Tamandua tetradactyla: one gene and its partner. The main gene of each other region encodes a partner of the protein of the gene in region 2 in a complex. Links are inferred from orthologs where the notes say so. Each region holds a gene or a part of one and is shown on either strand. Other genes may lie near its edges.

Region 1 (7,523 bases), on a different chromosome or scaffold from region 2:
GCATTAATTTTGCAATATTTCCTCTGTCCTAAAAACTGTGGTTTTACCCAGAATTCTGACCCTGAGTCTGTTGGGGCTGTGGGTAAGAGTAAGAAAATTTAGTTGAAAATAAATGTCACAAAGGTTTTTTTTTTTTCTCTCTCATTTCCTCTGCCTTGTCATCTTCAGTTATTTAAAAAACATGGTTCCAAAATAGTATTGTACCAATGTTAATTTCTTGTCTTTGCTATTTATACTATGGTTATATATGGTATTAACATGAGTGGGGTAGAGGATATGATGGAACACACTGTACTGTTTTTGAAATTTTTCTGTAAGTCAAAGCTAGTTAAAAATTAAAAGTTAAAAAATGGTTCATAATTTTTTGCTACAGTTTGTTTTATTTTCTTATAGCAAAAAAGCAATGCATGTTCCATGTAGAGAACATTTTACATGTATGTAAACAAAAAGAAGGAAATGAAAATCTCCAAATTCAATCAGCTAGAGATATCTGCTCTAAATATCTAGGTATGAATCCACTGAGTTATGTGTGTATGGGTAATATATGGCAAGCATGAATTTCAATTACTATCTGCAAAGAAAAGCCTTTACTTCTATTGAACTTAATTTGCCTTAAACCTCCCATCTACCTGATGGGAGGCAACTTATCTCCCAGGTAATTCATTTATGATTTAAATCCAATCAAACTCAGGTCCAAATTCAGTCCCCTTCCTCCTTCTCTCCAGGAGATTTATGTCTGGACTGCATTCGTCTTCTGTAGGAACCCATTGCTGATATGACTCATCTCATCTTATCTTTGGGCATCAGCCTCTTGCTTCTGAAGTTCTTGCTTCCCAGAACAGTGCAAGAGATTCACTGGGGACTCTTTCAGGGTTCCACAAGGATGCCTCTGCACCCTTTAGCAGAGCTACCTCACTTACTTTACTTCTTTATTGCTCTGGGACATTTCTGATCTCTGAGACTCTAAGATCTGCAGAATCCTAAGAGAATTCCTAAGGGAATCCTGAGCAATGACGCACAGTTTCCATTTCTTGCGGAATCTTTGGAAACTTTCCTAGGCTTTCTATCACCCCTCCCTTAGTGGAGCCTGGCCTGGGTGAGGCATTCAAGGTCTTTTCCCAGTAACCCACTTAAGGATTTACTCTGCAAACCCTCTTCCCTGTCATTCCTGAAAAATTTCCTCATCCATTGAACTTCTTCTCCTTTCAGGTGAAGCAAGCAAGCAAACAAACAAGCTCTTACATCATCATATATTCTTCTGGAATCTATTAGTCATGACATCAACTTGGAAGTTTTGGGATTAAAGTCAGACATTTGGAACTCCAGCATCTTCTCTTAAAGTTATTTTTGTTGCCAAAGGCTTCACAATTTTATTTTGCAAAGCAACTGTAAAAGGATATTTTGAGACAATTGTGAAACTGTAGTTATGAACTAGTTATTAGAAGACATCAAAGATTGATTCATTATTAATTTTGTTGAATGTGATAATGGTCTTATGAATATGAAATCAATACAAATATGAAAATATCTGTATCTCTTTTAGAGAAGTTACTGAAAGCTATGGTGGAATGGTAAGCAACAAGAGATTAAGAAGCTGGAGCAGGAGCTAAGAGACAGAATGAAGCCCACATATGCCATCCTTTGATTTTATGCAGGTGACATCAAACAATAATGGGGTAACATGATTGACTTGCATGAAGAGGAGATGAGAAAGTGCACTTGTAACTGGGAGTTGGGAGGCTGGAGGAATTTTCTGGCCCCTCCCTTTCCTCATCACCCATAACCAAAACTATCAGCAAACCCTGTTTGCTCTCTTAGCAATACCACCTCTCCATTCAAAGCCACCATCATTTCTGACCTGCATACAGTAGTTTCCTAATTATCAACTATTTTCTTTGCTTCTTTTCTTCTCTATAATTCATATCCATAGAACTGCTTAAACATTCATTGACTTCCAACCATATTTAAAATAAAATATAAACCTTACCATAGATCATAAGTTCCATTGTGACCTGACCGCCTTACCTTCCTGACCATCTTCTTTTTGTGCCACTTTCCTCCTACTCATCAGTTCAACTACACAAGTTCCCTTTCATTCACTTACAGTCGGTTCATTTTTCAGGAAAAATTATCTACTGTGATATTTTTGAATTTTTAACTGTTGTTACATTTTAATCAAACTAGAGAAAACTCCACTTAAATGCAATTTTTCACATACAAAGAATAAAGAATAATGAAATGAAAAAACAGAGTGTTCACATTCCACTGTTGAATTTGGGATGTAAAATGTGACAATGTGTGGAAAAGTGGGGAATTTAAACAGCAAATATTAACTTGAAGCCACCTCCTTTAACCATGGAACTGTTATTATTCATAGGTCTTGAATTTTGAAAGACAGAATGGCCTTTAGTCTCATATTTGACACATCTGGAATGTTATCTTTCAACCTATGAAGATGGCTTCATTAACTTTCCATACAAAACATTATCATTGTGGGGATTTTCTGGCATATATTCCAATAATTTGTTTAGAATCGGCACACTAAAAACTGGAACTGCATTGAAATTAGCGTTGTAATAATACAAGAAGTTAAAGGCAAATAAAAAGGCATTTTAAAAGAACACAGAAAATTTGATTATGTATTAATCAGATTTAACAAGGAATTATTATTTTGGTGAAAGAAAAAATGATATGCATAACAAAATGTCTGAATTTCTTATATGGATATAAAATGATGTTTGGAATCTGCTTTAAAGTACAAAAGGAAAAAGGAAAAAATGGTTAGATTTTTTCTAACCAAATAGTTAAAATAATTTGAAATGCCACTGTCTTCAAATTTCCAATCATCTTCCTTCTGTTTATTTGAAGAAATAAATTGCTGCAAATTCTGCTTCTCATTCTGCTGATTCATGTTTATGGCCACCAAATTTTATTTAGGATAATAAACAAAAACTGAAAAACTGTTCTATTGACGTCTCTCATACTCTGCTGATGGGAGTGTAAAATGAACCACTCTATGAAGGACAGGTGTCAAAATTTTTTTATCACATTTACAATTCTATGTCTCCTTGAACCAGTTATTGTGGGACAGCTCTCCTGTGCAGTACAAGTAGCTCAAAGCCCAGCTCTGGGGCAGCTGCTGCGCCCGTTGAAAGCCTTCCCTATTGGGCTCCTATGGCAAGGGGTTAGCAAGGACAGCCTCGCTGAGGCCCTCTGGCCCACCCACCCAACACCCAGTTCTCTGCATCCTCCTCAGACTTTCCCAAGCCAGAGGTGGAGCTCTCAGCTCCCTACAGTTCCTTAAGATAAACTAGGCAGGTGCATGCCTCAGGGGAAGCTGGTTCCGTCCATTAACTGCAATTCCCAACAAAATGAGTAGTGCTGTTGGCACCTCTTATGTCGTTCCTTTACTAAGAAGTGGAAAAATCTTCTTCAGAAAGAAGGGAAAGATGTGGGAGGCGCACTCTATAAATCTAGGTTCAAATTAATATGTGCTGAACTCGGGGTGTTGCAAAGATTGGCTAGTAGGCTTAAGGTGAAATTTAATTTTGAGAATAATTCCCCCCCCACCCCCACCCCGCAGGAAATGAAGGAAGGCATCTTGCTGCTAACTCCAGGTCTCATACACCCTGAAACTTATTTAGTCATAGACCCTAATACACATCACTTCAGACGGGATTAAAGTCGGAGACAGGATGAGGTAAGGTCTGAGTATTACCAGGATGAAGCGCGACCCTTGAATTAGCGCTGATAAAAATTTCTAGCCTCCCTTTATTTGAACTATGCTTGCTTTCAGAAACCAAGCACCCAATCTTTGCCCAAGCTAGGCCTGCTTTCAGAAACGAAGTGCAGGAGGCTGGAAACCACAAGTACAGCTCAGACGTCCACGGCTGAACACCACATGCAGTTGAAAAGTGCAAAAGTGCTAACTGCAGATGCAGAAAGCAAAGATGCTCATGGGACCACTTGCACATACCCAAGCCAGCCCCTCATCCCCCATAAACGAATCTCACACCTCCCATTGGTGAGAAGGTGTCTTTTTTGGATACAAGCCCACCCTTCTCTATTCTTCAGCTAAAAACTAAAGTGCTGCTTTGCTTTATCGAACCGGGTTTCCTTCCACTGGTGCGAGGGACACGGGCCCGGACCTAGCCCACCACCTGGAGGGTCCAGCCCACAGAGGGTTGAAGAATGAGGGTGAGGCTTAGGACTCAGGAATAAAGCAGAAGGGAGTCTCATTTGCTATTGCTTGAGGCCGGGAATCAAAGAGAAAGCCCACACCGAGGGCACCACAGCTCAGCCCCCGGGCCCGCGTGGCTTTCCCGCGCGCCTTTCCCGCGCGCCGTCTTGGGGGCGGGGGAAGGACCCGGATGGAGCCGCCCCTGCGTCCCGGACCCCCACCGCCTTTGAATCGCACCGCGGGGTGGAGTCGCCCTCCCTCCCCTGTCCTGATTGGCTCGTGTCCGTAAACTCGTCTTCTCAATTGGACGACCCCAATGCCAGTCACAAAAGGTTTCTGGTCGCTCAGATTGCTGCTAGAAGGAGACGGCGTCGACGTTTGACTGGGCTCGCGGCGTGTTACCCTCCAGTCGTGAGCTTTTCCTCTGGCGCTTTGAACTTGTCCGCCGCCTCCCGGCTGCCAGGCCGAGAAGGAGGCGTACCTCGCCGGCTCGAGAACGATCTGAGGGTGCCCAGGTGCTCCCCTGGCCGCCCTGTTCAGCGCCATGTCCTGGATGTTCAAGAGGTAAAGGGGCGGCGGGGGTGGGGCGTGGGAGGTAGCGGCGGGCGGCGTCCCCAGGTGAACCTGACCTTCCGCGCGCTGCCACCGCGTCCCCTGTGCGGTCTGTGCGGCTTGTATGCATTCTGTTGGTAGCTCCGGTGGCCGCAGGAGAAATAAAGGCATAGTCACGGATGGCGAGGGGAGGCTCCTCAGGCAATTCTTGTGCAAGGGCCTTGGGAAATCTCTGTCATCGGGTGTGGAGGCCTGGGACTCGGAACTCCGCTCCTTAGGGTCTTGGCGCGCCCTGTATTCGATAAAACACCCATCAGACGCTCAGCGTGCGCTAGGCATTGTAGTGGAAGGAGAGGGCCGAGTGCGGCTGTCCTTGTGCCCCAGAGGAGCTTACAGCTGATGTGCACGCACAGACGTGCAAACACATATCTGCAGCAGAGCCTAAAGAGGAGGTGTGCGCGATAAGCAAGGAAGACGCAGAGGTCCCAAGAAGTGGCTGCCTGTTCAGAGGAGGGTGGAAACTTTCCCTCAAAGCCCCTAAAAGACTTCCCCTCGCTTACCGTTGTCTGAATGGATGTACATGCCCATTCTTGAAACAGTTATGCAGAGGGAGTTTGAAGTTACCTTTAAACCGACGGCGGGGTACGGAGATCAGATTCCCATCCTGGCGTAGTTCAGATACCTGAATAAAATAAGGGTTTATTCGGAGGAAATTGGAGTAGTGGATGCTGGATGGGTGTCTGCTAAAATAATCCAGAGATGGACTGTCTTATCCGTGAAGATGTAAACTGCTTCATGTATGGTAGTGATGCTGTCAAGTCTCTTCTAGTTTAAACCCCAGTGAAATTTTGGCACGAAACTGTAGTTAAAGATATCGCATACGTTTCAGATTAAATAGCTTAATTTAACTTTAAATACATTTAAATCACTGGGGAAGAGATTTGTGAAACCTTATAGATTTTTTCGTTTTGGATACCCAGGGGCGCTGGGCAGGTGGGTCGAGGAGACAATACTGGACTAGTCGGTTTCTAGGAAACCTCCCTCGCCTCAATTCTTGCGTTAATCAGAGTAAATCAGTGTTCTTATATAGTTCGTCTCCTAAAATAAACTGTGAGAAAACTATTGGCCTATAAATTTTGGTATAGTTTTGAGAAATATTTGGTTAAATATTGTATTGTTTTCTGCATCCCTTTCTTTTTTTTAATAGAGATCCTGTTTGGAAGTACTTGCAGACAGTCCAGTATGGAGTCCATGGAAACTTCTCACGCCTTTCATATCCAACTTTCTTCCCCCGTTTTGAATTCCAAGATATTATCCCTCCAGACGACTTCCTAACTAGTGATGAAGAGCTAGATTCAGTTTTATTTGGAACTTTGAGAGGTCATGTGGTTGGACTACGCTATTACACAGGAGTAGTGAGTATAGCAGTAGATACTAAGTTAGATTGATATGTTTATGGTATTAATCTTGAAAATTAGAAAATCTGTAAGGTGATATGTGTAGTCACTGTCTATTTTTACTTTAAGTAATTGAAGTATATTCAGACAGTACATAACAAATACCTGAACTTCTCTGACTTAAAGTATTCTCTTACATTTATATCATACCTAAATAAACAAAATACTTTGGTCAGCACTGTCTCATTTGATCCTACAATAACTCTAAGGTAGAGAGTACATCTGATAGCTCTTTTTATAACTGAAGAACTGAAGCTCAGAAAGGATAAATATTTGCCCAAAACACATAGATACTAAATAGAAGTTTGGGAAATGACTTTCAAGTCCATTGTTTTCTCCACTTCTGCCCCTCAGCCATATTTCTACGCTTTCGTATTTTTGATTTAGGTTGATCAGCTCCTACAAGGTAAAGGAATTGCCAATTTTAGTCCCTTTCTATAGTAAGACTATTTCTCTAACTCCCACCTTTTCTTTCCCTCCTATGTCTCATTCTCTATTTCTAGTCTCTGCATTGTGTGTATGAGAGAAAGAGCTATACGGGAAGAGAGAGAATATATATAACTTTCTCTGGTTTGTAGTCTTTGACACAGTTGTCTAGTATGCCTCTGTGTTATCTAGATAATAATATACCTCTAATTTCATTTATTTACTTTTTATAAAAAATTTCAAACACGCATTAGAGAAAATATTACAGTAAACTCCCATATACCCATAACCCAGATTCAGCAATTAACAAGATTTTAAATATTTGCTTCATCTAACCATTTTTTCCTTTTTCCTTTTGTACTTTAAAGCAGATTCCAAACATCATTTTATATCCATATAAGAAATTCAGACATTTTGTTATGCATATCATTTTTTCTTTCACCAAAATAATAATTCCTTGTTAAATCTGATTAATACATAATCAAATTTTCTGTGTTCTTTTAAAATGCCTTTTTATATTTGTTTTTTTTCAAATCAGGATTCAAATAAGGTTTATATATTACCTGTGGTTATTAAGCCTTGGAAGCCCAACCTCTTTTTACATGTCATTGACTTGTTCAGAAACCACATCACTTCTATAGAATGTTCTAGATTTGCCAGTTTTTCCATTTCCTGCATATTTTCCTTCTGTTGAAGCTTCTCACATTATTTTTTTGTTGCCTGGAGAATGTCCTGCAGAAATTCCGTGGGATGAAATTCCATCGTCTTGCTCTGTTTCTTCTTCCATTCCCCTTTATCTTCTTTATGTTGAAGTTCAGATCATTTTGTGGTTGTCTGAAATATGTCCTTTAGGAACTTCCTTAGGAAGGAACATTGTTTCATGAAGTTTGTGTGTTCATAATTGTGGC
Region 2 (8,190 bases):
GGGGCTGTGGCTGAGGGCAGCTGCACCCTCCCCGGGCCCAGACAACCGGCAGCACTCGATTGCGTGGAATGGCTTACCTGCCTGTCTCTTTTGTAGATCCAAGTTCCCTTGGTCTAAAGCTGTGAGTTTTTCTGCATTTATCTTTTAGCCACTAAATAGCCATTTGTTAAATGAGGGAATGACTGCCTCAGACAACTTCCTTGGCAGGAGCCGAGGTCTGAGTGTGATTGTTTAGGACTGGGCTGCAAACCTTAAACCTGAGCTCAAGGCTCGGAGCTGGGAGGGGCCAGGAAAGGGGCCGCAAAAGGGCTCACCTGTGAATGAAACAGTAGTGCACACAGGAAAAAATGCATGTCCTGCTAAACAGGTCTGGTCAGACCCTGGCATGCCTTTTTCCTCTTCTCACTTGTGCTGTTGTCACGTCTTTCTGTTTATCCCATCTTCTGCCTCATGCTCAATAAACTGGTAAGAATGAAACTGATACTCGTATGTACGTTTGAACCATCCTGGGAGTGACAGGGGAGCAGGGGCCCGCTTAGCACAGAGCGTCTGCTCCTGAGCAATCTCAAATGTTTGCTCTGGACCTATGCCCAGAACCGGCCGTAATTTCAAAGAGAACACTTCTCCTGAGCACGAGGTCGGATTTACTTTGCTCCTCTGTGCCTCACCCTTAGTCTCGCTGTCTTACAGCCCACCCAGAAAATAACTGGCGGGGTGTCAGTGATAGCAAACATCTGTTATTGAAAATGTGTTTGAGGTTTCCTTCCTTTGGCTTTGGGAATTTTGAAAAAAAAAAAAGCATTTAAAAATTTTTGCTTTCTGAAAATTGAACCAAAGAGGTTTTCATTGAATTTGATCCTTAAAAGGAATTCAGAAGAAATGAACTGAGGCAGTAGGTCAGGATCCAGGTTGTCTCTCAACTTTTTACCAACAAAACGTGTCCCTTAAGGAAGTGGACAGCAAAGGAAAGTTCCAGAAACATCCAAAAGGAAGAAAACTTAGACGCCTCCTCTGTCCCAATGAAGTACACCCATTTTGCTCTCATCAGGCATCAATCTGAACCAGTAAATAGATGTAGTTATTTAACGAAGAGACCGAAGTGCTAAGAACTGCTGTTAAAAATATTTAAATTCATTGTTTTTGCTTTTGATGGGAGATTCCTAAATTAAGTGCCAGGAAAAGGAGACTCTTAGGAATGCTCCTACGATTTTTGTCAAGCTTTCCCAGCACTCTGAATGCTAATTTACACATTATAACACTGAAAGGATTCCATTGTTTCCCTCTGGTTTTACTTTAAAAGACTTGACTGTATCCAGAGGCACACCAAGTGGGGAGTGTTCTAAAAAAGCCACATTTTTGGAACTGTCTGTGGAAAGCAGGGACGCACCCAGGCCCAACTCCACAGCTCCAGGCCTGACCTCGCGGGGGTGGCTGCTTGAGGCTGGCCAGAAGCCAGGCGTGGGGAGAAAGAGGACCCAAATGCCATATGCTCGGGAGAAGCCAGGAGAAGCATCACCTAGAAATCAGCCTGATACCAAACAACTGCTTTTTATACAGGAGAGCCTCAAGAAATTTTGAAAAACTGCAATAAGAAGCCCCAAATGGTGGATCAAGGACCTCAAGGAAGAAGCCAGCTTGGCGCTGTTGAGGAGAGTATTTACCATTTAGAAAGGGATGAATAAATAGAAACCAGATAGGAATCTGTGGGGGCAGGGCTGATGATGAAATTCCAAATGAATTATATGCACTGGTTCCTGCCCCACCCCCTGGCATTATCTTTTGCAATCTGCTGAAACAAGTTGGAAGCAAAGATCACTGCAGGGTGTTTCCATGAGTCTGACCCCACCTCTAAGTGCAGGATATAAAAATCTACTCCTGGAGGTTGAAATTCAAGCTGCAGAGGGAAAAAAAAAATCTGCAGCCACCGCAAACCTCTTAACGGGAAAAGCTACCTCCCAAGTAAAGCCGGGGCAGGCTGCCAGGCCTTAGGGACCCATAATGGGGTGGCATGGTCTCGCCATGACTCTGCCAATCTAATCACTGTCCTTACAGTTCAGGAAGATAGCTCTCCTTCAGACCGTGGGTCAGTCCTGGAGTGACTCACTTCCTCCTGGAAAATGCCCTCTAAGATGGCACAGTTCCCTTTTCCTCCAGGGAGTGTCTGTCCATCTGCAGAGTCTCTGGCAGCAGCAGGGCCCCGCCCACATGGTCTCACCGCTGAGTCACCAGCCCCTTCACCGCTAGAGAACCCCCAGCCCTCCGTGGTAACCCCACCCTGCAGGACTCCCAGCCCCGTGGGAGGGGGCGGGGCTGGGAGGGCGAGGGGAGGGCGGTGGGCTTAGAGTGACCCAGGCTGGCCTAGGGCTCTGCCGTGCCTGGCCTCGGGGTTCTGCTTGCTTTCAGTTCGGCGAGGCCGGCTGCAGGGTGCTGCCCGGGCCAGCCTCCAGCGTGGAGGGGGCACCCTGGCCCCACCGACCTCTGTCCCACGGCACTCGGCCAGGTTCATCTGGGCTGGGGAGAGCTGCCCTCCAGCCCGCCCTCGCCCGTCTCCCTCCCAGTCCTCTGATTTAGTTCAGATGGTAAGAAGGGGAAAAGTCCATCAGTGGAGAAACCAAGTCAGGCAGGGCCCCTGTCTCCTCGCTGTGCGGAGAAAACAGACGGCGCGCGCTCGCTGCGCAGTGGGGCCCCCGTCTCCGAGGCAGACAGGAAGCCCGACCCGAGGGCCCTGGCGCAGGTCTGAGGAGCATCCCGGGGAGGGCCCCGCCCGGCCCCCCGCCCCTGCTACCACCCCCTCCCCCCGAGGGCGCAGGACCGTCCAGCCCGGGGTGGGCACCTCTGGACAGAGGCGGGGCCCGCGAGGGCCCCCCCATGCCGCGGCCAGGACGGCGGGACGCGGCGTCTGGAAAAGCCGACAGCGTGGACGAAGGGCAGGCAGGCAGCGGCAAAGACCGGCTGACGACCGGGCGGGAGGAGGGCAGAGGCCCGGGCCAGGTCCCGCGGCAGAGGGCAGGCAAGGCAGGTGGCCCCGGCCGCGCGCTCGCGGGGCGGCGGAAGGCGCGGAGTGGCGGGGGGCGCGGGGCGCTCGGCTCGCTGGCCTGGGGTCGCGGGCTCCCGGCACTGGGGTCCGGGGGCTGCCCCGGGTGGGGACGGTCCGGGCCGCGGGCGGTGCGCGGGCCCGGCGGGGCTCACCTTGGCCGGAGGCGGCGGCGGCGGCGGCGGGAGCGGGGCCTCGGGAGCGGGGACGCGGAGCCAGTGAGCGGCGCGCGGCGGGCGGGCGCCTTAGTACGCGGGGCGGCGGGAGGGGCGCGGGCGGGAGGGGCCTGGCCGGGCCGGGCCCTCCCCACCCTCCCCTCCCTGCGCCGCCCACCCCGTCCCCGCCCCCCGAGGTGCACCGCGCCGCCCGCCGCGCCCCTCAGGACCTCCCGCCCGCCCGGGCTCGGCTTCGGAAACCCGGGGTCCGGCGGTGCCGGGGCGCGGCGCGTCGGCCAGGCGCAGAGGCGGCTCCTCCGCGCCCCGCAGGCCTAGGGACTGTTTCCCAGAAGACAGCGCCGGGAGGGGCGCGGGCAGAGGGCTCTCAGATTCCGTTCACTTCCGCGCTAGAAGCCGACCTGGGCGCGTCGGGGCCGGGAGGTGGGGGGGGGCTTGGGGGCGGTGGGAGGGAGGGGGATGAGGGAGGGGGTGGGGGTGAGGGAGGGGGTGAGGGAGGTGAGGGAGGGGGTGAGGGAGGGGGTGGGGAGGTGAGGGAGAGTGTGAGGGAGGTGAGGGAGAGGGTGAGGGAGGTGAGGGGGTGAGGGAGGGGTGGGGAGGTGAGGGAGGGAGTGAGGGGTGAGGGAGGGGGTGGGGAAGTGAGGGGGGTGAGGGGGTAAGGGAGGGGGTGGGGAGGTGAGGGAGGGGGTGAGGGAGGGAGTGGGGGGTGAGGGGGGTGAAGGAGGGGCTGCTTGGCTCTCCGCCCAGGGGCGTTTCCCCCTTTGTTGAACGACGGGTTTCCACCCCCTGGGTCCGCGTGGCTGCATTATGTCAGTAGCTCAACTTCAGATGTGGTTGATATCGTTAAAATCTAAGTTTTAAAATCTTTTTTTCGTTCATTAGCCAGCTCGGCCCCCCGAGCTCTTTTGCTTGAAGGCATACAGAGAAAACCTAAGTGTTTCTTAGCGATCCCTAACCGTGGACGTTTATTTTAACTGTGGACATTTATTTTAACTTTGTTGAATGCAAACTCCTAGCAGCTGCTGGCTGAAGAGGGCGCAGTCCCAAGGTCTGGGGTTTTCCTTCCTACTTAGTTCCTAGGGGAGGTCCCGAGAGGAGTGAGTGATCCCGAAGGAATCAGCCGACTGGGGAATCCTTCAAGCGTGGCCCTGTGACTAATCCTAGCAGCTGTCAGGAAAACCCAACTTAAGTTTCAGCTCTGACCCCCCTGGGCCCCTGTGCCGTCTCTTCCAGGGGACAGTTCCTCAGCCTTCCTGGCCCCAGGTCGCCGTCCCCAGTGGAAAAAAAACCCGGTTCCCCGTTCCAGGGAAGATTGCAGAGCTGAGCTTGCCTACTCCTGCTTACTCGTTTAATTTCCTCCTGTGGTGCCTAAGTGTTTCGGGATGCTTGCAGTGTGTGTCAGGCCCTTGGGATTCAGAGATCAGAAGACTCAGTGGCTTTCCTCAGAGACCCGGTTATTGTTAGGAGATCAGCAGGCAAGGAAAATGCAGGTGGGTAGTGAGGTGCAGGAATGGGTGGGACACTCCAGGAGCAGTGAGCAGCGGCGCCGGGTCACGCTGCAGTGGTCAGGGGAAGGTCCGGGAGGACGCAACCTTGGAGAGAAGTTTTAAAAATAACAGTAACTTCTGATCCTTTTTTTGGGGGGTGAGGGTGGGGGTGCCTGGTCCGGGAATCAAACCCACATGGGAGGTGAGCATTCTACCCCTGAACCACCCGTGCACCCTGATTTTTAAATCTGATTGTAAAAAGATTACATTCCTGTAGGTTTAGAAAATGCATCAGTGTTTAAGAAAGAAAAATTTATGTGTAAACTCATGAACTAAAGGTGAACATTTTCTTATATTTCCTTCGGTCTTTTTATGCATGTGTACATATGTATTTACAGATTTGTGATCACACTGATGTAAAATTATAAATTCTACTTTTGTCATGTAACACTTTATCCTTACTATTTTCATTAAATATATATATATTTTTCTCACTGCTGTTCATTAAATGTTAAAACATTAAACACATTTTACATTAAGTATTTGTCAAGACTGTGAGTATATGTGTGAGCATGAGCATATTTTATTGTGTATGATGCTGGAATGAGTTCCTTCATGTGACTTTCAAAAAAAATGCAGTTTTATTGTGATGTATACACCAGACAGATCATCACATGGCTTCTTTTTTTCCTCGGGTGCATGGGTTGGACTCAAACCCATGCTGGCAGCAGGGGGGATTGTTTTACTTAAGTGGATATTTTCCCACTTCTCTGTTTGATAGTAACAAGCTCCTGTCATCCAGTGGTGCTCAACGGTTTGCAGTTTTGCGGCTGTGGCCAGGAGGTCTGGCTGTCCCCAGAACGCCTGCCTCCTCTTCCAGGGTAGACTGCTGCCGGGAAGTGGCTGCCCAGCCGGGAGGGTAGACTGCTGCCGGGAAGTGGCTGCCCAGCGGGGGGTTACACGCCTGGCACCCCTTGCACCTGGGTGGGGCCTGGACTGGTCACCCACAGAATGGGACTTGAAGCATGTGTCACTTTCAGGCCAAGGCAGTCCGGAGGTGACTTTCCCACCTTCTTTCTCCACGTCTGCAGGACTCTGAGGCTCTGGGCCAGAGGAACCAGTCAGAAGGACCCTGGGTCCCTGAGTCACCCCGTGGAGGAAACTGCCTGCCAAGCAGAAGGCTCCCATTGGGCTAGCTTTGGGAGTGAGAAAATCTCGAGATTTGGGGATTTATTTGTTCAGCATGACCCTAACGCATACAGCCACATTCTTTTGAGTATTAGTATTTTTGGCAGCACAGTCAAAAGACTTGAGTTGCATGTTGAGTCATTACTGTATTATACCGATCACACTTCAGCACCGTGTCACTGCTTGGGCAGAGCCGTTTGCTGTCCTGACCCCTCTGATCTGGGAAATGCATTGTTTCTTTGTCTCTCTATGTATATCACATTGTACCCTGCACCAGTAGAAGCCTCACTCCATGTTTGTCTGCCCAGACATTGAGTTAACAGGGGAAATCACAATTGTAGCAAAGATACACTTTCCTGTCAGTTAAAACGTCCTATTAAGGAATCACAGCATCATGTCAGGTGATAACCGCTGATTTATGGATATCTAGTCAAGACTCGTTTGCAGGCAATCCAAAAGCCAAACCAACCAAACAAAAAACTCAAGTGTGAGATATAACTGATTACATTTCCCATATTTTTTTAACATTTAGGATGATTCCAACTTTTTGCTGTCATAAATGATTATATGTAGACCTGACTATTTCTTGAATAAACATCTCTGTCTATGTGCAATTTCCTTAGGACAGATTCCTATCAGAGGATATCAATTACCTTTGGTTTAAATGGGTTTTAAAGGACAAGTAGGAATTAGCCACACTAGAGGGAGGTACCTGAAACTGTTGAGCTGTGTTCCAGTAGCCTTGATTCTTGAAGATAATTGTATAACTATATAGCTTTTTAAAATTTTTAAAAAATTTTTGTTTATTTATTATATTTTTTATTTTTTTAAAATTTTATCTATTAAACATACCAACATACAAACACGAACATTCTTACCATATGATCATTCCATTCTACATACATAATCAGTAACTCACATATCATCACATAGTTGTATATTCATCACTATGATCATTTCTTAGAACATTTGCATAAATTCAGAAAAAGAAAGAAAAAGAAAACAGAAAGAAAATTCATAAATACTATACCCCTTACCCCTCTCTTTCATTGATCACTAGCATTTCAATCTACTCAATTCATTTTAACATTTGTTCCCCCTATTATTTATTTATTTTTAATCCATATGTTTTACTCGTCTGTCGATAAGGTAGATAAATGAAGCATCAGACACAAGGTTTTCACAGTTACGCAGTCACACTGCAAAAGCTATATCATTATACAGTTATCTTCAAGAAACATGACTACTGGAACACAGCTCTACATTTTCATGCAGTTCCCTCCAGCCTCACCATTACATCTTGAATAACAAGGTGATATCTACTTAATACGTAAGAATAACCTCCAGGATAACCTCTCAACTCTGTTTGGAATCTCTCAGACATTGTTGACACTTCATTTTGCTCATTTCTCTCTTCCCTCTTTCGGTCGAGAAGGTTTTCTCAACTCCTTGATGCTGAGTCCCAGCTTATTCTAGGATTTCTGTCCCATGTTGCCAGGAAGGTTTACACCCCTGGGAGTCATGTCCCATTTAGAGCGGGGGAAGGCGGTGAGTTTGCTTGCCGTACTGATAGAGAGAGGCCACATCTGAGTAACAAAAGAGGTTCTCTTGGGGATGACTCTTAGGCCTAATTTTAAGTAGGCTTGACCTATCCTTTGCGGGGTTAAGTGTTGCTTCCTATGAAATGGAGCTCGAACGATATTAAGGAATGATGAGAAAGAAAGAAAGAAACAGATGGGTTCAGGGGGTCTGAAGCTTAGAAAACAGATAACTTTATTTTTAATTAGTTCCTGCTTCTATATTGCAGGGTTTAGGTGACTAAAAGCAGGCATACATTTCGTGAAAAAAACAGAGTGCCTACTTATCAGTATATTACTCTCTACATACAAGAGATAGCTAACAAGACCTTGGGGCTTAAGAAAAAACAAACATTCTCTCCCTCTCAGGCTGTCCTCCAGTTAAGCAGATAGCAGTCTCCACAGTTTACTGCCGACGCCACTCTGAAGCCAGTTGCTCCCAACAAATTCTGCAGGTTTTCCATTAACCCTGGCTCCCACATATAAGTTTCATATGAACAAACCCCAAGACTGGGGGCTCAGCCTATTGCTTTGGTTGTCCCCCTGCTTGTGAGAATATCAAGAATTCTCCACTTGGGCAAGTTGAATTTTCCCCTTTTCTCACCATTCCCCCAAGGGGACTTTGCAAATACTTTTTTATTCACTGTTCAGATCACTCTGGGATTTATCAGGGCATCACTCTGGACAAACCAACAAAATCTCATGCCTTACTCAAGGTTCTGTGTACTGTG

Evidence for each region.
Region 1: the proteins of S100A10 (region 2) and HLTF are in contact, whole or in part, in a crystal structure (PDB 4HRE), measured with the Homo sapiens proteins. The link is inferred for Tamandua tetradactyla from reciprocal best matches to the Homo sapiens genes S100A10 and HLTF. Residues at the interface, in NP_002957.1 of Homo sapiens: Phe42, Asp58, Leu59, Asp60, Gln61, Gln70, Ser74, Leu75, Ala77, Gly78, Leu79, Ile81, Ala82, Tyr86; in NP_001305864.1 of Homo sapiens: Thr32, Phe33, Phe34, Pro35, Phe37, Phe39.

The regions. Positions count from the first base shown.
Region 1 is NC_135331.1:42,026,100-42,033,622, reverse strand, and holds the start of HLTF (helicase-like transcription factor), read left to right. Parts: upstream 1-4,509; 5' UTR 4,510-4,724; coding exon 4,725-4,744; intron 4,745-5,939; coding exon 5,940-6,147; intron 6,148-7,523. UniProt on the Homo sapiens protein: Has both helicase and E3 ubiquitin ligase activities. Possesses intrinsic ATP-dependent nucleosome-remodeling activity; This activity may be required for transcriptional activation or repression of specific target promoters.
Region 2 is NC_135330.1:3,154,770-3,162,959, reverse strand, and holds the start of S100A10 (protein S100-A10), read right to left. Parts: upstream 3,268-8,190; 5' UTR 3,190-3,267; intron 1-3,189. UniProt on the Homo sapiens protein: Because S100A10 induces the dimerization of ANXA2/p36, it may function as a regulator of protein phosphorylation in that the ANXA2 monomer is the preferred target (in vitro) of tyrosine-specific kinase.